2 linked regions of the Astyanax mexicanus genome follow. The protein of the gene in region 2 binds, or shares a complex with, the protein of the main gene of each other region. Links are inferred from orthologs where the notes say so. Each region holds a gene or a part of one and is shown on either strand. Other genes may lie near its edges. The genes, in order: mms22l and tonsl.

Region 1 (10,341 bases), on a different chromosome or scaffold from region 2:
TACGCTGCTATCAGCATGCAAATGGCACATTTATCTAAACCCTGTATCCACACACACTCATACACACACACAGAGCGCTATACACTCTGCTCTAGAGGATAATATCCATTAGACTGTTAATTCTACCTCAGATACACAGATACACACTTTTTGCTGAGCCATATCAAAAATACTGTATATATGATGCCTGATTTACCAAGAAATATTTTCCTTCAAAAACATTGTTAGTAATGCAAAACAGAGCATTTATTTTTTTATTGTAAGGTACATACAAAAAAAATGTTTACCTGTCCTGTTGTGTGATGTAATATAAATGAAGTATGAAATATCAACATTAATAATGTCTAGACACGTGCAGATGTAAATCAAAGAATAGTTAAAGTATAAAGTATAAACCAGGGTTGTAAAGTATAAGTATAAGACAAAAAATGTAAGATCAACTGAGGGCAAATTAGCCCCTTTTTATAGGGCTAAATCATGTGGTTAGAACTCAGGTGATCTACTTCCTGGAAGTGTCACATGCTGTTTTATGTGATCAGGATTGGGTGTAATGTCCCAACTTTTCCATCACTGAAAACCACAATTCTGTATAGGATCTTAAGATTATACAGTTCTAGTTCTAGTTCACAACAGTACAGCTTGCGATGGTGCGGTGCTGACATATGGCCTAGATAGTAGCCAATTCATAAAAACGAGCATATTTCTTGTTTAATCCGATAATGCGCCCCCTCCCAATGTCTTTCAACTGGTAAAATATCTTTAAAGTGCATCATAAATGCATATCTAGCAGTCAACAATCTCTCACCGAGAGGACACCATCCTTTTGACGAGTAGCCTCTCAGAGTTAACATTACCAATACTTAAAATATTTCATGACATGATTGTCTGGGTTGTGTCCCAATTGCATACCACATAATTGTAAGGGCTCACCCAAAAAGGGGCTTGAATCCAGGTCTTATGGTTCTCACAGCACAGCCTCCTAACTGGGTGAGCTAACTAGTAGAGGTGGTTAATAGGAACCAAGGGCCTTTTATGAGCTTTCGGCCATCCTTTTGATTGTGGATTTTCCTAGTCACTGCAGTGGATTGGTGGCCTGTCCAGGGTGTATACTGCCTTTCACCCAATGCCGGCTGGGATAGAGTCCAGCCACCAACACGACCCTGATAGTTAAATTGTTGCTCATTGCAGAGAAAATACTACATTTCAACAGTTTTCTAAAATAGGCCAAAGAAATGTTGCAATCTTGCAGAGACATACCTAGGAAACTATTTTTTTGTGTGGACAAATATTATCCTACTGAAAAATGCCTGTTGGAGGCCCTGCCATGAGAAACATATTGTTGAACTGCTAGTAACTCTTGTATCACTACTAGGGTTGAACAACTTTTCATCACACCAGCAGTTTTGGGGCAGTGTGTTGCTCCACAGTAAATTGCTTACAGGACTAAAGCGCTCACCAGGAGACCTCCATACTCAAACCTGACTATTGTTGGATCTGAAGAAGATCTAACAAAACCGTTCTAGTTCTAGTTCACAGCAGTACAGATTTCTCATCTGCCTAAATAGAGGCAATTCATTGAAATGATAATGCTGCTTGTTTTAGTCCAATAATGCGCCCCCTCTCAAAGTCTTTCAACTTGTAAAATGTTTAAAGTGCATCATACATACATATCTAGCAGTCAACAATCTCTCACCAAGAGGTACACTACCCAAACAAGTAGCCTCTCAGAGCCTTTTTTGCGGCAGCAAGGGAAGTACATTTTTACACCCTCTTGTGGCAAGACCCAATGTCTTCTACCTTGAATACCACACCTGTAATTGTTTAAACATGCATGTGGATGAGGCATGTATGTATACCAGTAGTTTAGCACTTTCACTGTGTTTGGAATAAGAGAAAACCATACAGACAGCAATGAAGTAAAGGATTAGCGCCGTGCTGGACTGCTCCTACAGGCGCAGTGTAGAAAAAGAGAGAAAGAGATGTTCATCTTAACTGAAGCAGCATGTGCACTGCTAAGCCACCAGGCCTGGGGCAGGGAGAGGACAGAAAGAGAGAAATAAGAAGGAATGATTTTTACCACAAGCCGAACGTCATGCTCTGGGTCCAGAGGCCCTAGAGGGACGCTGATAAAGCACCTGGACATTTTTATAGACAAACCACTTATTCCTGTCCACCGTATCGCTCGGGAAGACTGATAACTTTCCATTTCTCCCGGGCTGAGAGTTGGAAGGGCCGCAGGTTTGAAGAGGCCTTTCTCCAATTTAATTGATCAAACAGAAGCCCCCCCGAGGCCCAGATAAAGCAGCCCTGGCCCGATTTGCAGCACAATGGCCGGACCGTTTTGGGGGAGAGCAATAACGAGTAAAATACGACTCATTATGTCCCCTCATTGTACAGTATTAACCGCATGTCACTTTTTTAAAGAAAGGTCATTATATGCGTTCCTATTATCCTCGGAGGTCGCAGAGCAGGTCATTTTTAAAGTGCACTTTTTACAGTACTGACTCTCTACTACTCTACACTGACTAAAAAGAGCATTTGGCCATAAAATGGGAATGTAGAATCACCTGACAGAATTTTCAGTAGCTTGCAAAAGTATTTATACCTCCTGAACTTTTTTTTTTACATTTTGTCACCTTACAAGCGCAATCTTAAATGTATTTTCTTAAGATTTTAAGTAATAGACCAACAAAAAAATAGCACATACAGTAGTGTGAAAAAGCATTAGCCTCCTTCATGATTTCTTTTTTTTTTTTTGCATTGTTGTGTTTTTCGCATATCTTAAAAGTTTCAGATCATCAAAACAAATTTAAATATTGGTCAACCACAACACAAGTAAACACAAAATGCAGTTCTTCAATTAAGGTTTTTATAATTATGGCACAAAAGTGAAAACAAAACTTAACTGTGGTTTATAACACTTAAGTTCAATTTCTTTAGCCACACCCAGTCCTGATTACTGCCACACCTGTTCTCAATCAACAAATCACGTAAATAGGACCTGCCTTACAAAGTGAAGTACACCAAAATATACACAAAAGCTAGACAGCATGCCAATCTTCAAAGAAATTCAGGAACAAACAAAAAAAATAAAGTAATTGAGATCTATCAGCCTGGAAAATATTTTAAAGCCATTTTTAAAGTTTTGGACTCAAGAGAACCACAGAGAGATCCACAAATATCGAAAACCTTAAACAGTATTGAATCTTGCCAGGAGTGGCCGCTGACCAACATTATCCCAAGAGCACAGCGACGACTCATCCAAGAGGTTACAAAAGACCCCACAACAACTTCCAAAGAACTGCAGGCCTCATATGCCTTAGTTAAGATCAGCTTTCATGACTCCACTATGAGAAAGAGACTGGGCAAAAATGGCCTGCATGTCAGAGTGCCAAGATGAAAACCACTGCTGAAAAAAAGAACATCTCAATTTTGCCATTTTGCTGATCCCTAAGACTTTTGGGAACAACACTCTGTGGGCCGATGAGACAAAAGTTTAACTTTTTAAAAGTGTGTTTCTTATTACATCCGCCGTAAAAGAAACTCCACATTTAGAAAATAAAACATCATACCTACAGTAAAACATGGTGGTGGTAGTGTGAAGGTATGGGACTGTTTTTCTGCTTCAGGACCTGGAAGACTTGCTGTGATAAATGGAACCATGAACCCCACTCTCTGCCAAAAAGTCCTCAAGAAGAATGTCCGACCATCTGTTTGTGACCTTAATCTGAAATGAACTTGGGTTCTGCAGCAGGACAATGATCCAAGTCCACCTCTGAATGGCTATCCTATTAAGATGCTGTGACATGACCTTGAGAAGGCAGTTCATGCAGAAAAACCCTCCAATGTGGAGGAATTACAGCAATTCTGTAAAGATGAATTGAACCAAAATTCCTCCACAGAGATGTGAAAAACTAATTGCAAGTTACCACAAACGCTTCATTGCAGTTGGTGCTGCTAAATATGGCCATAACAGTGATTAGGTTTAGGGGATCAATTAGTATTCATCCCTTGGAGAGCTTCTGTGAACTAAAATTTTCCTGTCTTGCCACAGAAGCTCAATGGATTTAGTTCAGAATTTTGACAGGGCCATTCTAACACATGAATATTAAACATGAATATTTAAAAAAAGTACTTCAGTGAAATTTGCTAGCAAACCTTTTTTTTCCCAATTTTTGTGTTGCTTATAAAAAATAAAATCGTGCTGATGATTTTGGATGTTAAATACTTCACACAAATATACTTAATATACTTCACACAAATATACTTAATATACTTCACACAAATATACTTAATATACTTCACACAAATATACTTAATATACTTCACACAAATATACTTAAATTGTATTAAATGGTGAACATTACAAATGACTAATATACTGCAAATTTATATCATTTTAATTACAAACAAGTAATAATATAGTATAGTCCGAAATAACATAACTTATGTACAGACCTCAGCATAATTTAAGTATACTTTTTTTTACAAGGGCGTGCTCAGAAAACATCAAACCTGACTGAACTGGAGATGTTTTGTAAAGAAAAATGATCCAAAATACCTTCAACCAGAAGCCAGACCCTCATTATAAGCTATAGCAAGTGTTTAAAGTTATTTCTATTGTTATTTCTGCCAAAGGACGATCTACTAAATATTTATGTCATTTTCCTTTTTTTGTAAATCCTATTTTTCATTTCGTGTTCGTCTGCTATGTGATATATTTAACTGAAATTCCTGATCCGAACAACCAATGATTTATAAAGGAAAATCATGAAAATAATCAGGGGTGTCCAGACTTTTTCATACAACTGTAAAAATCAGTATTCAGTGGTCTTAATGTTGCGGCTGATATGTGAATATTTAAATAGTTTTATTCTCTTTACCTGGCAGTGTTCCTAACGTTATGGCTCATTGTATTCTATGTAAATAAAAGTCCGTACATTTGACCGCACTATTATTTTGTAGGCTCTTGTTTTGTTTATAATAAAGCCCCGTGATTGGTCACAAGTCCTAACGTCTCACCCCTTCGGAGAACTTTGAACCAATCACAGAAGCGAGTCGGAGGATTCTGCAGTCGTGCGCATGCTCAGTGTAAGCGCGGGATTGTGAACAGCTGTAAGCGGAGCGGTGAGTTAAACGCGTTACTCTATAAATACTTAAATAATAGTCGATTAATTGGGGATCGTTTTGCTGATGTTGGATAGTAAGAGCTGTCACTCATTTAAGCGCGAGGCTGTAACGTCGCGAGAAGGTTTAAGAGACGGATTTTGGTTTTAGGCTGTAACGTTAATACTAATGCTGACGGTCAGCAACACCGATACAGCCTCGCGCAGTTTAACAGTAACGTTAAGAATATGCACGAGCTGCAGTAAGTGTTTCTATTAAAGTGTCCACTAGTGAGTAGAAGCACTAGATACAGTAGGTGTTTCTAATAATGTGGCCATCAGTGAGTGGAATCACAAGATACACTAGGTGTTTCTAATAAAGTGTCCGCTAGTGAGTGGAAGCACTAGATAGAGTAGGTGTTTCTAATAAAGTGGCTGGTAGGGAGTAAAAGCACAAGATACAGTAGGTGTTTCCAAAAAACTGGCCACTAGTGAGTGGAAGCACAAGATACAGTAGGTGTTTCTAATAAAGTGGCCAGTAGTGAGTGGAAGCTCAGGATACAGTTGGTGTTTCTAATAAAGTGGCCGTCAGTGAGTGGAAGCACTAGATACAATAGGTGTTTCTAATAAAGTGTCCACTAGTGAGTGGAAGCTCTAGATACAATAGGTGTTTCTAATAAAGTGTCCACTAGTGAGTAGAAGCAAAAGATACAGTAAGTGTTTATAATAAAATGGCCAGAAGTGAGTAGAAGCACTCTATTGCACACTGTGTAATAGAGTAATTACTACCTCACCTGGTCACCTGGTCTTTTTTGCACACTGCAAAATTTGCACACTGTCTTGTTATTTATTATTCTTTGTCTGTATTGTGTTGTATTGTCTGTCTGCACTTTTGTACTGTTGCACTATTGTTCTGTCTACACTGTGTTTATGTGCACCATGGTCCTTGGAGGAACGTTGTTTCGTTTCACTGTGTACTCTGTATATAGCTGAAATGACAATAAAAACCACTTTGACTTTGACTTTGAGATACTCTAGGTGTTTCTAATAAAGTGGCCACTAGTGAGTGGAAGCACAAGACACAGTGGGTGTTTCTAATTAAGTGGCCAGTAGTGAGTGGAAGCACAAGATACAGTAAGTGTTTCTAATAAAGTGGCCAAACAGTTTTAGAATCAAATGCACGTTTGAGCTGCATGGGCACGAGCTACAGGTGACATGAGGTGAAATGAGAATTGATTGGCTGCATGCCTTCACTATCCACCAATCATTTTTCTTCAGTCTTACGTGACCTTTTGTGTGTGCACTTATTACAGAATTTGATTTAACTCCAGTTGCCTTCAGTAGCTGCTATCGCATTCATGATCCAGTCCTTTAGGCTCCAGGACCGAGGTTGAGAATCACTTTTATAGTTTATAAAACAAAGCCTTTTAGAGTGAGTTTGGTGTGAAATGCTTAGTTCTAGAGAAACATCTAGTAATTGTTCAGATTTAATCAGATGTTATGAATACACTGCCAGATACCCGATACACTGTTTGACGGAGTTGAAAAGATTTCAGGAAAAATATATATATTTATAATAGTGTGTCTTTAAATTGTGGAGGCATACATGCAGGTTGTATTCTCTGTATTCGCTTAGATTCTCTGCCTGACCCGAGGCCCGACCTGAACTCCGGCTGGGTCGGGCCGAGATTTCCCACCACTCCTCGGGTTTGGTCGGGTCGGGATGTGTTTTTAAATGCAATGTTGATTTTATATAAAGCTATGGCATAACAATTGCAATATAGCAAAGTAACAAATCAAACTGAGTTTTAAATCAAATGTTGCACAAGTTAGAATGTTATGTGTTACTGTTACTGTTTTATGTGTTTTGCACTAAGGCTATATGTTTAAAATAAAAATAAAAAAATGTTTGTCCAGTTTTATTTTCATAGACATTATTAATTATATTAGAGTAGACGGGGAGATCTGTTCTTAATAAACATTGTTCTTAAATAATAGGTCTATGCTTCTTCAGTGTTGTAATGTTAATTAACATTATTCTGAACAGATTTAGCTCATTCAAACAGCCTGAAAATGTTTTTGAAAAGCTCAGTTTTAACACTCCACTTACTAAAAAAATGTCTTGTTTAATTCAGGCTCGGGCTCACAAAAACAGTTTACAGGGCGGGACGGGTCTGGCTCAGGCCAGGTCGGGCTGGATTTTTTGGGCCCGATCTAAGCACTAGTTGTAGTGCAAAAAAAAGTCCCCAAAGAAAATGTCAAAGTCAAGTCTGAATATTATGACTATCTCCTTGTTTCCGCTCGTTGTCCGACTTATTACTTCCACATTTAGTAGTTATATATAAATACTATATATTACCTAATAACTTTGTGCAACTCTTGGCGGCAACAACTTCAATCAAGCTTTACTGATAACTGGCAATGAATCTTTCACATCTCTTTTGAAGGAGTTTTGTTCCACAATACAATTTATCAGATTGTATCGATACGTAAATGCAAAGTTTATGTATCGTCATCAGTATTGGATCAGCACAACCCTAGTTCCTTTAACCACCACTCTCTCTACAAAAAGAGAATCTACAGCTCTAGAAAACAATGAGACCACTAATGATGAGTTTCTTTTATTTTACCAAACTGAAAACCTCAAGAATATAATCAAGAAGAAGATGGATGATCACAATCCATCAAACCAAGCTGAACTGCTTGAATTTTTGCTCCAGGAGTGGCATAAAGTTATCCAAAAGCAGTGTGTAAGACTGGTGGAGGAGAACATGCCAAGATGCATGAAAACTGTGATTAAAAAACAGGGTTGTTCAACCAAATATTGATTTCTGAACACTTTATGATTGTGAACTTGTTTTCTTTGCATTATTTGAGGTCTGAAAGCAAATAAATGCTCTAAATGACAATATATGTTTATTTGGAATTTGGGAGAAATGTTGTCTGTAGTTTATAGAATAAAACAACAATGTTCATTTTACTCAAACATAAACCTATAAATAGCAAAATCAGAGAAACTGATTCAGAAACGGAAATGGGCTGTTAATTTTTTCCAGAGCTGTATATGAACTTACTGTCCTGTAACGCTTGTTTTGTCTGTTTCCACAGTTGGCGTCAGCAGTGTGATGGAGGATGATTTCAGTCCGTCTCTCACTCCACCCATCTCCCCGTTCATGCCGGAGGATGTGTGTGAGCCGATCACACGTCCGCCCTGCTTCACCTGTGTGTACGAAGCAGGAAGAGAGGATACACACGCTCTGTCTTCTGACGGCTACGTCAGCAGAGGAGTTCTAAAGAGGTCTAGCACCTTTATTTCTGCATATTTTATCATGGATAGTAATACTATTAGAACTTTATTCTAGATATTAAGATTATTCAAACTGGATTAATGCAGTATTATATTAGGAAATATAAGATCTCAACCGAAATAAAAAAAAAAGGTTTTTTTTTTACTAAATCTAAAATTTTAGTAAAATTTTACTAAATCTGATTGCAGACAGTATAAACCAAAGATATTTCAGGTATTGTCTAATCAGCTTTATTTTATTTGCAACACCTATCAAAAAAGTCAGGGCAGGTATATTTTAGGGCTAATAATGTGGTAAAAAATTAATCATGATTTGTTATAAAAACAGTATCCACAAAAATCTAAGCACTAATGATCAGAGAAAGAAAGAGGCCATCCAGACTGTTATCAGAAACAAGTCCTAAAGCCAGGATCTGACATGCTAGATCCATGGTAGGACATGGAGTGTATGTCTCGGAGAGGGAGAGTCCACGTGGGTTGGCGAGAGACAAAGCAAGTGAGTTTTATCACAGTGGCGGTGTGTCAACAATGTGAATGACCGGGTTGAATGATCACCTAGTTTCTGCGTGTGCTGTTTACCAAAAAGCTCTACTTTTTTTGCTTACCCTTTTTTATGTTTGCTGTGGAATTATATCCAATTTGGCTTTTTGACAATTCTTTTTGTGGTTTTCCATTGAAGACAAATTAAATTAACATTTTAATATCAAAACATTTGTAATTGCAATCCTTTTCTGGGAAAAAAATGGAGCATTATCTGACAGAATTGCAGGGGTGCCAATACTTTTGGCCAGCACTGTAAGTACAGAGACATTTTGCTCAGTGCCTTTTTGGTATTGAATTTTGATACCCAGCCCTAGTCTGGCCTCAATAGTAAATGTGGAGAATTTTCAAACTGAAACTAGAATGATGATCCCATACTGTTGCTTGCCTTAAGTGAAAAACGCAGGAATGGATGTACTGTATTTTAACAAATGAAATGACGTTGACCAGTCTTTAATATTTAAAATATAGAGTTAATGTTAAAAACTTTTTTTCATTTATTTGGGATTTTGTATGAGGGTCAGGCCCAACTCTTTTTTTGTCATTGTTGTGAATAATATCATGTTCATCATTACACTAGTTGTCTTGGCACATGTGCAGACAGTCTGCTGCAGCTCGTAATTTTACCGCTCTCCCGCAGGTTGCTGTTGAAGTTGGACCCGTTTCCTGCGTGCTTTGAAACAGATACTGTAGATATTTTTGGCTTCTCCTGGGTGACTGAGACAGCGCTGGTGGAGTCCACTAAACTTCTGTTTGGCTTGTTCAGGTGAGCATGTGCAGATTGTGGATTTGGAGCTTGGCCACACTGTCTGCTGACTGAGTTAATTTGCTAATTTCACAGTCTGTCTGTCATTTCAGACAAAAAGTGTTCCGACTGGAAACTCTGGTGCAGTCCAGCTCTCATGATTTCGGTAAGCAGCACTTTTAAGTCTTTAGAACTGTTTTCTGCTCTTTTTATGACACACTTTAAAGGCATTTTTTTTAGAGTAAAATCATTGAACGCAGTTATTTTTTTGTGGAAAAAACGAAAATGGGTGGAAACTAAAAGAAATAGGAGGAATGTTTTTTTTTTTTTTTTCTTTCTTTCATTATAATTCATTATAGTTCAAACAACCTCACGGGCCAGATGTTTTATGCCTTTTGCTGACCTATGCCGTAGCAGTGGACCCTATACTGTAGACTATAGGTCGGCAATCGGCGGCCCACGGGCCAGGTTGGGCCATTTTTGTTTTTCCGTCTGTTCTCAGGCTCCTTCTCTCATTATGAGGCCCTTTTTCCCAGCTGTTACTCAGTTAACTAGCCGGGGCAGCGGTAGTGTGTTACTACTCTGGTTCGATTCCTGAGTGAGGAGCGGTGTGTTTATTTATTAATTTTTTCCCTTTCTTTCTG
Region 2 (10,746 bases):
AGTTCCTCTGTAAGCCCCAAGGCCTCCTGAGAGACCTTATTACTGACGGTTGACATAGCTTTTTCCAGCTTGGAGCCACGGATTGCTACAGAAACAGCAGCAAGGCCAAGTTTTGATAAATACACACTATATGAGTATTAGCCTTAAAAAATAAATAAACAAACAACACCTTCCACTCACCATATCTCAGGTCTCTTTTCACTGCCTCTCTCTCTGCAGGCTGTTGGGACCCTAGCTGAAAGGCCTTCTTCAAGGAGCGCCGGGCTCCCAGGAAGTCTCCCAGATTCAGCAGAACCTTTGGGAATATTCAATGCACAGCATTATTAAAACGATCAAAGCTAGTTGATGCTGATACCAAAACTACAGATGACCGATACCTTTCCAATATTGTAGAAGCACTCGCTCTCGCTATATTTGTCGCTCATCTTGTGTGCACACTCTTTGCTCTTCTCAAAGCATCGGATGGAAAGCGAATGTTGACCATTCCGGAAGTGGATATTACCTAGGTTGAAGTTGGCTCGGTACAGATCCTCTAGAAGATTGTTCTTCCTAAGAACAGGAGAGGACCAGTGTTAGGTGCCGGATTAATTAATCACATGGACATGTTTCCTTCTAAAAAACCAAGAGTAGCAGCTGTGTGGACATTAGTATGGAACCTACAATTCTGGGATTATCCTTCTTGACCAGCTGGTTATCCAGAAAAATCATACCTTATGCTGGTCAAGACCTAGTTACCGTGGGTACGTTACTTCTGGATAATAACCAAACTTTCTAACCAGTGAACCTTCACTACCTCTGTTTAACCCTTGTGTGGTGTTCATATTTTTGTTACCCGTTTACTTTGTTACTTGTATTCAATTCAGCAAAATTAAGCAATTTTACATTAAAATGCTTTACACATGCTTGCTTCACATAAATTGCAAGCAATATAAACAGCTTATATGGTTAATATTTGCCCTTTACCTTTCTTGTGTTACATTTCTTTTAAAAAGTGCTACTCTTTTTTTAATAAGTTTTTTAATGAAATGTAAAAGAAAATGAATTAAACTCAAGATATGAGTAGAAAATTTGTTTAGTTTCAAATTTACAAATGAAGCAATGTTTATTAGCCCTTGGCCAAACATACTGTATGTAATATAAATGTGTGGGGGGAGGGGGGGTGTACAGTGTGTGTTTATCGAAAATGTGTTTTGATATATGCTTTTCACAAAAAATGAGCCAATGCCAATGAGTTTGAGTTAGAAAAAATATATTTTTTTGTATCATTTGATGAAAAATGAAAACGTGTCCCACAGACCCGAACACCACACAAGGGTTAAGCCATGAACCACATGCTGCAGACAATTAAAGGCTGCAAGGAGGAGAGTCTCACTCTGAGATGTAGATGCTCTGACGAATAAATTCATTGCAGCGCTGTGGGTCCTTCAAACCATCGCACACAAAGCCCAGATTCAGCAGCAGCCGTGCTCTCATCTCACTCCGTTCCCGAGCCGAGACTCTCCCTGAGACACATATACATATACAAGATGTACGCATCAGCCCCAAACACTGCAAAAAAACACAGTAATAGCCAGTAATATCAAATTTTATAATTAAATCTTATCAATATCAAAAGGTATTTAAAGAATGAACTGATATTACACTATATGTTATGACATTTTCTGAATGTTCAGAGTACAAATGTTAATGATGCTGGTTTACTATGCAAACAATTGTGATCTTTTACTGCTAGGCCTCTAAATGCACTGACATCTAAACTCTGCAGCTGTGGTGATCAGAATTTCTCCATGCTCGCACACAATAATACTGTTGGGTTGATTCTCCTCATCTGTTCTGTCTGCGTGTTGAATGTTTCTATATTCTTTGTACTTTGTATCTTGTATGTGATATGGTCTTCAACCAACCAAAACGGGCACATGTCACTCCGCTGCTCATTGAGCTCCACTGGCTACTGGCTACACTGGCTAAATTCAAAGCTCTTACAATCGCCTACAAGGTGATGACAGTACAGGCTCCTTCCTACCTGCACTCGCTCCTGAAGGCTTACGCTACCTCCCGGCCGCTGCGCTCCTCCAATGAACGTCGCCTCGCTTTGCCAAACACTCACACAAAGCAATCCAGACTGTTCTCATACAGAGTTCCCCAATGGTGGAACAAACTACCTTCCACTACCAGATCAGGAGAATCTCTCGCTATCTTTAATAAACTCCTGAAGACAGAGCTCTTCAAAGAGCACTTAATCTCCTAACACCTCTAACAAACTAACTAATTCTAACCTCATCTCCTTCTTCCTCTTCTCTACTCCTCTATCCCATTATTTCCCTCTGACCTCCTTAAGGCCCTATCTATAGATGCTTTATTTTTAACTTCTATTATTTTTGTACTTAACCTCTTCTATTATTTGCACTTCAATATTGTAAGTCGCTTTGGACAAAAGCGTCTGCCAAATGTAATGTAATGTAATGTAATGTAATGTAATGGGTTGATTCTCCTCTGTAAATGTTATTTCTGTATTCTGTGTGTTTAAATGTTTCTTCTGTGTTCATTTTTTTCTATTCTGTGCGTTTAAATGTATCCAATGTTTCCTAAGTGTCTTTAGGTTTTAGAAAAGTGCTATTACATTTACATTAAGGGTATTTAGCAGATGCCCATATCCACAGTGAAAGTATCCGTAGCTAGTTTGTAGGGACTAGAATCAGAAAGATACATTGATCTTGGATAATAAACAAGATATATACAAGCTATATAAAAATAAAAGTATTAAAATTATCATTTTCATTCAGATAATTTACTGCATTTCCATTCTCCTACATTCCTTTTTTTTAATTTTTCTTATACATATAACCATGGTCCACTTAGGACTAGTTTCAAGGTCTACATTTCTTAAATGTATTTAAATCAACATTAACAGGTAAATACACCAGCTCAAAACATCAGCTGAGAAATGTCCTGGGAATTTATTCTAACTTTTTTAGTACTCAGACGCAACTCCCCACTACTGTGTACGTGTCACCTGCTGACTTATTTTCCACTAGAGTTCATTAGGAAACAAGAACACCACCTTCCAGATGTTCGTTCACTATAGCCAGACTCTTCTTGAAAGCATCCTCTGCTTGCTTCAGGCTGTCCAGTGATTGGTCAGTGTCATGGAGAAAGAGGTAAGTCCGGCCAATGGTGGCCAGAGCTCTCTGTTCCTCTACTGCATCATTTACAGAGCAAGCCAGATCCAAATGCCGTCTCTGATACTGCAAAAAAAGAAACAGGTGTCTAAACCATGGAAACCTTAAATGTCTCTTTAATGTGAAAAGCAACTAACTGCTCTTTTCTTACTTTGAGAGCAGTTGCGATATTGCCAAGCTCTGCGTAACATTCTCCAATCTTCCGATTGGCTACAGCACAACCAATCACATCATGTAAAACCTGTGACAGGGCCAGCTCCTGCCGATGCTCCTCAATAGCAGCCTGGTAATCACCTGACAACACACAAAAGGAGTGAACAGCAGATTCTCAGGGAAATTGACACTGTGAGGAATCATTTAACTAAACTTTATCCTGGGTTTCTTACCACTTTTGGCTAAGACTTCTCCGAGCTGATTGCAGAGGCTAGCTTCCTCCTTCAGATTACTGCTGCTCTGAGCTTTACTTTTGGCTTTCTGCAGTTCTGTGTAAACACAATAAGGACATTTTATTTTAATCTAAAATGTTGAGGAGGTTGTGGTCCAACCTGACGAGAACAACAGGAAGACACTGGAAATGTAGTTAGCTAGCTAGCAATTACTTACCTCTCTAAAACACCAGTAAAGTTAATTTATTTAATGCCATCGGTCACAATATTAAAACATATTTAAAACATTGTCAGTTATATGGCTCTAAAATTTTTACTTAATGATGAATCAGTGCATTCCCACCAAATTACATTTTCTGACAGTACGAAATTATATCATTTCGACCGAAATTAAGGAATATATCAAGAAATAAATTTTGGCCATATTGTCCAGCACTAATTTAGACAAATACCTACAGCGTTAAAAAAAAGAAAAAAAAAAAGAAAAGGTTTTAGGATATACTTTAAGTATGTGCTTTAATCATATATATCTGTTTTTTTTAGTTTTGTCATTTGTCATACAGTATGTCATCACTGTCACATGACTACTGCATATATGTTAGTGCATCTCAAAAAAATTGATCAATGAAAAGTTACTTTATTTCAGTAATTCAGTCAAAAATATGAAACTCATTATATAGACGTCTTACACACAGAGTGATCTATTTTAGGCGTTTATTTCTTTTATTATTAATGACTATGGCTTACAGCCAATGAAAACACAGACGTAAAAACGTAAAACATTAAGCATAAACAGAAAATATATATAACCGAGTTAGTTACTGTAACATTAATTATTCTGCATATATACCAAGTAACGTTATACCATTATAAACAATATACATTTTTAGAATTCTTTTTTGAGCTCTGTTCGAAAATAGTGATAACTAGCCTGGGGTTAGTAAACTATTTAACTTAATAACTCTATTATTCCACGGGTCACAACAACTGAGACCGACCATAAAACTCATTTTTCCACCTGTTTATTTAAGACTTTTTTAAAGTAGTAACCTTCATTTCAAAAGGTTGATAATGAGAGGTGATTTTAATATTTTCGTGTCTGGGATTAGATGGATCAAAATAACGTAACAGTTATCTGATTGCGAAAAATAAATGATACCCCAGCTAACGTTATATGCCTGTGTTAGAAAACAGTGAATACAATAAAACAGCTGTCATAGGGCTAGGCTATAATAACAATATTATTTTTATACGGTTAGCTAAATAGTTAGCCAGGCTAGCTGAATAAGTAAGTTAAATGAATGCTATTTACTAAGGAGCTAGACAACAGCAGGCAGGATAGCTTAAAGCTAGTTATAGTATAACTAGTTATATACAGTCTAATTAGCAGTTTTTATCTGATTAAGACAATAATCTACCTAGTTTAAATAGTATGAAACTTTACTCACGTCTGATCTCCTTCGCTGAACTCATTGTCCCTGGTTACGCAGCGGATATCTGCTAGTTCGCTAGCAGGAATCGCAAGTCAATAATACTGAAAAAAATCAGTGACAAAACAGAGCGGAAACAGGATCTCGCATATTAAATAAACACCACGATCCTCCACCGATCTCCAGACATGTACTAGTGTCAGTTCTGACAGCGATCCATCGCTCTAAAACTAAAACAATACTCAAAAAGTTACCGTCGCTCTTAGCTGGCTAACTAACTACACAAGCTACATCTCCTGTTCCCAATACCGCGCCAAGAGCTCTGCTGCCCGCTGATTGGCTACTGCAGCAGACCGGCAGTAAAAGATCAAGCTCCGCCTACTGAGGTCCACATTGTAAAGCCATATTGGTAAGGTCGTTTCAGCTCCTAATACTCACACAAACATTGAAGTCTGATTTTAAAGAAAAAGCATGTATTAATTTTACTATGGTTATTACTGTTACTGTTTTCCAATGCATAAGTAAAATGTAACATCTAATTGAAATATATTTAAAAAAATGTAAAAGAAAAGTGTCTTAAACAGAAAAGTCATATCATATCATATGAAGTAATGGTAAGAGGAGTAGTCAACAGATTCACAGACAAATTATATTTGTATTGGGTATTCGATTTATACTCAGACATCCCATATATATACCTAAACATGCCTTTTGCAATCATTTAGTCCCCCATTACAGTTATAACAAACTGTACAGCAAGCAAGATTTTTTACATTTTTTTTTATTATTATTTTACAAGACATGGATATACTTTAGAGTAGTAGAGCCATGATGCTTCTTCTTCACTGAATCCCATCCAGGAGGGGGAAAAAAACACTGCCCACCCACACTAAAAACTGATTGGCTGACTCACAGACTCTTTGTAGAATCCTCTTTGTCTTGCATGCACTTCATGAGTATGCACACAAGGGAAGAGACTTTCTCTCCCTTTGCCTTCCTTTCACACTTGCGTTTGGGAAAAAAAAGTCTCTGTCGCCTGCGTATGTGTTTTTGTTCACTCTTGGGCCACTCGTTGTAGATTTAAGGAGATTTTTTTCTGACTTGCGGGCATCAGGGAGCCGGTATTGATATGCAGTAGACTCCTGCAACTTCCGGGAGACTTGGGAAGTCTTTACTATGCTCAAAGCCATTTGTCATATCTGCTATGGACTAGCTCACAACAACACAAGTAAAATTAAATAAACCAAGACACAGAACTTTTAAAATAATGTCCATTTTTTTTAATAATCTTAACAAGTCAGCAAACACACTCATACAAAAACACTGCAAGCTGTACAAGCCTCTAAAGGAACTGTTTACCAGAATAATCAAATGTACTCAGTTCTTTCCATGATCAAAAATAACAAAAGTCCCCCAAACACAAATTGTATAAAAATGACTTTTCAGTGAATCCTTCCTTTAAACAGAGCATAACCCTGAACACTGCCTTAATATTGCACATATTTATTGTTTATTTATGTTTAAAGACTGTGAGCTTTTAGCTAAATCAACCAATGTGACCTTAGTTGTACACCACTAAATCGGTCAAGTGCCCTTTCTCTCACCCCACCAAAAACAAAAAACAGGTAGTTTTGTTGGTTTATTTGAAAATTTTAGAAAATATTTACTATACATTTTTTTAAATATAGAATATTTTGAACAAAATGTATTTTCTGTTGCTAATGGTTAAAAAAAAAAGTAATGTGTCACAATGTCTGGATGAAGATGTTGTGAGTGAGAGGACAAGGCACTGCTTGTTATGATATGTATTCACATTTTCAGGTTTGAATGAATAAGGCCCATTCCATAAGGCTCCTCGTTCTTTCAGCACGCAGCCTGAATGAGTTACAGGGAGGGTAGCACCAGTCAGTTCGGAAATTTGCACAAATGTACAATTCACATTGATGGTCCTGGTTCTTCGCTTTCTGCTGGTGGGGTGAGCTGATCCAGAAGTTCCAAATAGAGGGCAATCCGCTCGATCAGGGAGGTGTTCTTTTCCGCTCGCAAGAGTCGAGAATACACCTGCTTGTACACCTTCACCTGCTCCTCTTCTTTAGCACTGTTTAACACACATACACAAACAGATCAACCATGTATAAAGAGTTACACTATATTGCCGAAAGCATCCACTTGCCTAAATTGCATTTGGTGATGTAAGGATGGGATGGAGCTGCTCGGCCATGGAAACCCATTCCTCTACACTCTACTGATCTTGAGCTAGTCTGAAGCCTGAGGTCTGTAGTGATTGACTCTGCAGTAAGTTGGTGACCTCTACACACTAGAGCCTCAGCATCTGCTGACCCCACAAAGTCATTTTATGTTGACATAGCGAGCAACTTTCATTCCCAGTCACTTCCACTACGTTAGCACTGACAGTTGAGTGTGGAATATTTAGCAGTGAGGAAATCTATCACAGTGCCAGACTGGAATTCCCAGAGATCCTAATAGCGACACATTCTTTCACCAATGTTTGCAGACAAACCCTATTAATATGTCCTGTCTAATCACTTAATTAACAATTAATTTATTATGCCTTATTTTAAAGCATAACCTAATTTCCGGGCCATCTTAAAGTAAAGTCATGATCAGTACAGTGATGGCGGCACCCAGAGATTAGGTCATGCTACGGGTTGTGAACAGTGGTTTTTAATAAGCTTCTTGTGCACTTTTAAAGTTATTAATGCCTCATTTTAATGTCAGGGCTCTCCGGATTCTATCAATAAGGTGTGGAGCTACTTTGAGCTTGTAAAACGATGTAAAAAGTGATTTATCTGCAGGGGCAAAATATGCCCAATATCATTTATTCTAAAGCATGTTTGGAGACACTGCAAAAAATTACTGGATCTCAGAAAGATGAGGGAGAACAGATGTGGGTTATTCAACAAAGGTCAAATGTTCAGGTCAAAAGTCAATTTTACACCAGAGTACATAAATCTCATTTTCACCTGGGTTTCCGTTTACTTGTGGCACTGAGTTTGACCAGCTGCAGGAGCAGGAAGGAGAAACTGGGCTCAAAGACACCAATCAGCTTCAGCACCTCCTGTGTGTTCAGGCCTGAGGAGGCAGAGCTATCACACCCCGCACCGGCTTCATCAGGATTGTCTGTGTCTTCTATTGCGACTGCCTGCGAACATATTAATAATCATTAACCTTTCAAAACAGTAAGATAATAAGGTCTCATTTTTGGCATGCCTCTCTGTATACCTCTTTCTGCTCTTGCTCCTGTAGCTCCTTATGGATTAACCTGAAGGCATGGCGTGTTTCATTCATGATCTCTAAAGCACCTGTTAGGGTTTTTAATTTCACAGCACTACTACTCTGCCCTGAAAAACACAGAAATAGCAACATTAACACAAGTTTAAACACAAAAAGACAGACATTTGAATGTGCAAAAATACATCACACACATGCGCAATAAAGACTACCGACTACTGTGTGAGACTGACCTGCCATGGTAAACTCAGCAAAGGCTACTCTCTCAAGCAGCGTGCGAAGAAGCTCACATGGTGCGTCACTCAGACTGAGAAACAACCGGACAGCTTTGGAGTAATGGAGCTCTGCTAGAGACCTATGCTGCTTCCGTAAACTCTCATCACCCACCTGCAGAAGGCACAGAGTCGAGGTAAATGTGAGTGTCTGTACTGATATGCAAGGGCATATGACTATGGAAATGGAAACATGGAAATGAACAAGAGGATGTGTTTACCTGGTTACGGTAGCAGCTGTGGTACATGGAGGCAAGTCTGTGGTGAATGGTAGCTGCTCTGTACTGGTAGAGCGGCTGACGAGCAGACTCTGTCTGGAGGTCACAGTATCGCAGAGATTTCATCATGGCATCCGTCACTTCCCTTTCGATCTAAAGTGAAAAGTTAGAATGGAAAATCTTTTGTGAAAAGCTTGATTTAAATGTTATAAGTTTAACTAGCATTCATGGTTTAGTAATAGTATATTCCGATTACAGTAAGGTGGCCTAAGCCCAATACCATTTCCCACTTGGCCCTACCTAAGAAAATCACTAGCAAGATAGCAGCAAAGAAACCCACAAATTTGAGTATTTTCTTTGTTACGATATCACGATGTGTACAATAAATTTGATAACCACTATATTACCATAGTTTAATGTGTAGATTCAATGTTTTATGGCCATTTTCTTTATAACAGGCATAAAAAAACAGCTATTAGTTAGTCTAAGTAGCTTAGTAGCCACCTTAAATGGTTCAACAGTCGGAGGAGACTGCATAATTAAAGATGAAGAGGAAAATTACAATAAAATAATAGCTAATAAAAGCAGAAACAATAATTGCTACACAATCGGCCCTCTTTCTAAAGACATAGGATGCCCTAAATTTAACTAATTAACCAGCAACTAGGTTGTTTAACTTTAGCACATCACTGTTTTATATCTGTATAGGGTGCATGAATGGTTGTCCCAATTCTTATTGGAGAGGATTTCAACCCTTTCACATGTAACTCTGTTCCAAGGGGACGAGTTACACACTCAAAAACAAGGGGTAGGGGAGCAAAAGAGAAATGGGATTGTGCTTTAGTCTGTGTGTGCACAAGCGTGTGCACAAGCGTGTGCATTACCTGTTCTTGAGCTTTTCGGGATAGTGGAGCATAGTCCTGCAGTAATGTGGCCAGGGTGAAATACGTGGTGGAAAGCTCCCAGTTAACAGAGTCCCATACTGCTTCATGGCTCTCTCTGCTGCCCAGGCATTTCATGGCCCTCTGATAGTAATCTACAGCCTAAACACAGGTAGAAGGATATGATTATAGTACGCTAAATGAGATTTAAAAAAATAAAAAAATAAATAGTAATAATAATAATAATAATATTTTATGATTACATAAAAATATACTGTATTGATCTGTAAATGCACTGTGACTAATCAAACAATTTATACACAAGATAAGACAAATATGTTATATACATTTTACACTGCTCAGTTTAAAACTAATCAGTTTTACAACTGGTGCATAGTTAGTTTGTGCATGAGTACCTTGTTGTAATATAGAGCCTCTTCTGGAGAAAACTCTCCTCTGCTCTCCTCAGAGGTCATGGCGCAGTGGGCCTGGGCACAGATGCGCATCAGTCTGCCGATGTTACACAGCAGCAGAGCTTTATTCACAGAGTCAGAAATGGCCTCAAAGTTCTGCATACCCTTCTCAAAATACGAAAAGCTTTTCTTCCACAGTTCTTGCTCTGCTGCACAAACCGACCTCCGCACTGCAAGAGAGAGAGGAAAGGACAGAAAATAGAGTAAAATTTTAAATATACTACCACTGTGTGATCTGTAAATACAAGCTACCTGGGTTGAAATCTAGAAATCTAGAATCTAGCACTCACCCCCTTCTTTCTCTGTCTGCAAAGCTGCAGCCTGGTTCATGTAGAACACACCCATCTCATTGCGGATGTTGCCAAGCCGCTTCAGAACTTGTGCCTGCTGCTCCTGGCCCAGGTCCTTCAGAGCCTCAGAGGTCAAAAGGTCATGGGCAGCCTCATAACACTTACTACTGACAAACAGCTGGTACTCTGGGTCAGTGGCTAGATCAGTGGCCACGTTGAATGCTGGAGAAATAATACACACAGATCATTACAACAGTGGATAAAAGCAAAAAGACTAAACAACACTCTTATTTAGGAATTATGATAGAAATTTATTTGATACATAAAACATGACTGACACCAGTAAATGATGCAAGGAACTGTAA

Evidence for each region.
Region 1: tonsl (region 2) and mms22l share a complex: the UniProt entries of both Homo sapiens proteins name them as parts of the MMS22L-TONSL complex. The link is inferred for Astyanax mexicanus from reciprocal best matches to the Homo sapiens genes TONSL and MMS22L.

Annotation. Positions count from the first base shown.
Region 1 is NC_064411.1:31,626,149-31,636,489, forward strand, and holds the start of mms22l (protein MMS22-like), read left to right. Parts: upstream 1-5,034; 5' UTR 5,035-5,127; intron 5,128-8,213; 5' UTR 8,214-8,230; coding exon 8,231-8,403; intron 8,404-9,592; coding exon 9,593-9,718; intron 9,719-9,810; coding exon 9,811-9,863; intron 9,864-10,341. UniProt on the Homo sapiens protein: Component of the MMS22L-TONSL complex, a complex that promotes homologous recombination-mediated repair of double-strand breaks (DSBs) at stalled or collapsed replication forks.
Region 2 is NC_064421.1:19,730,942-19,741,687, forward strand, and holds the start of tonsl (tonsoku-like protein), read right to left. Parts: upstream 5,315-10,746; 5' UTR 5,039-5,314; coding exon 5,014-5,038; intron 3,662-5,013; coding exon 3,566-3,661; intron 3,474-3,565; coding exon 3,331-3,473; intron 3,246-3,330; coding exon 3,062-3,245; intron 1,503-3,061; coding exon 1,373-1,502; intron 550-1,372; coding exon 378-549; intron 296-377; coding exon 181-295; intron 86-180; coding exon 1-85. Other genes in the region: edrf1 (erythroid differentiation-related factor 1), read right to left, coding at 6,931-7,093, 7,980-8,158, 8,239-8,357, 8,481-8,634, 8,741-8,890, 9,622-9,780, 10,035-10,261, 10,382-10,603. UniProt on the Homo sapiens protein: Component of the MMS22L-TONSL complex, a complex that promotes homologous recombination-mediated repair of double-strand breaks (DSBs) at stalled or collapsed replication forks.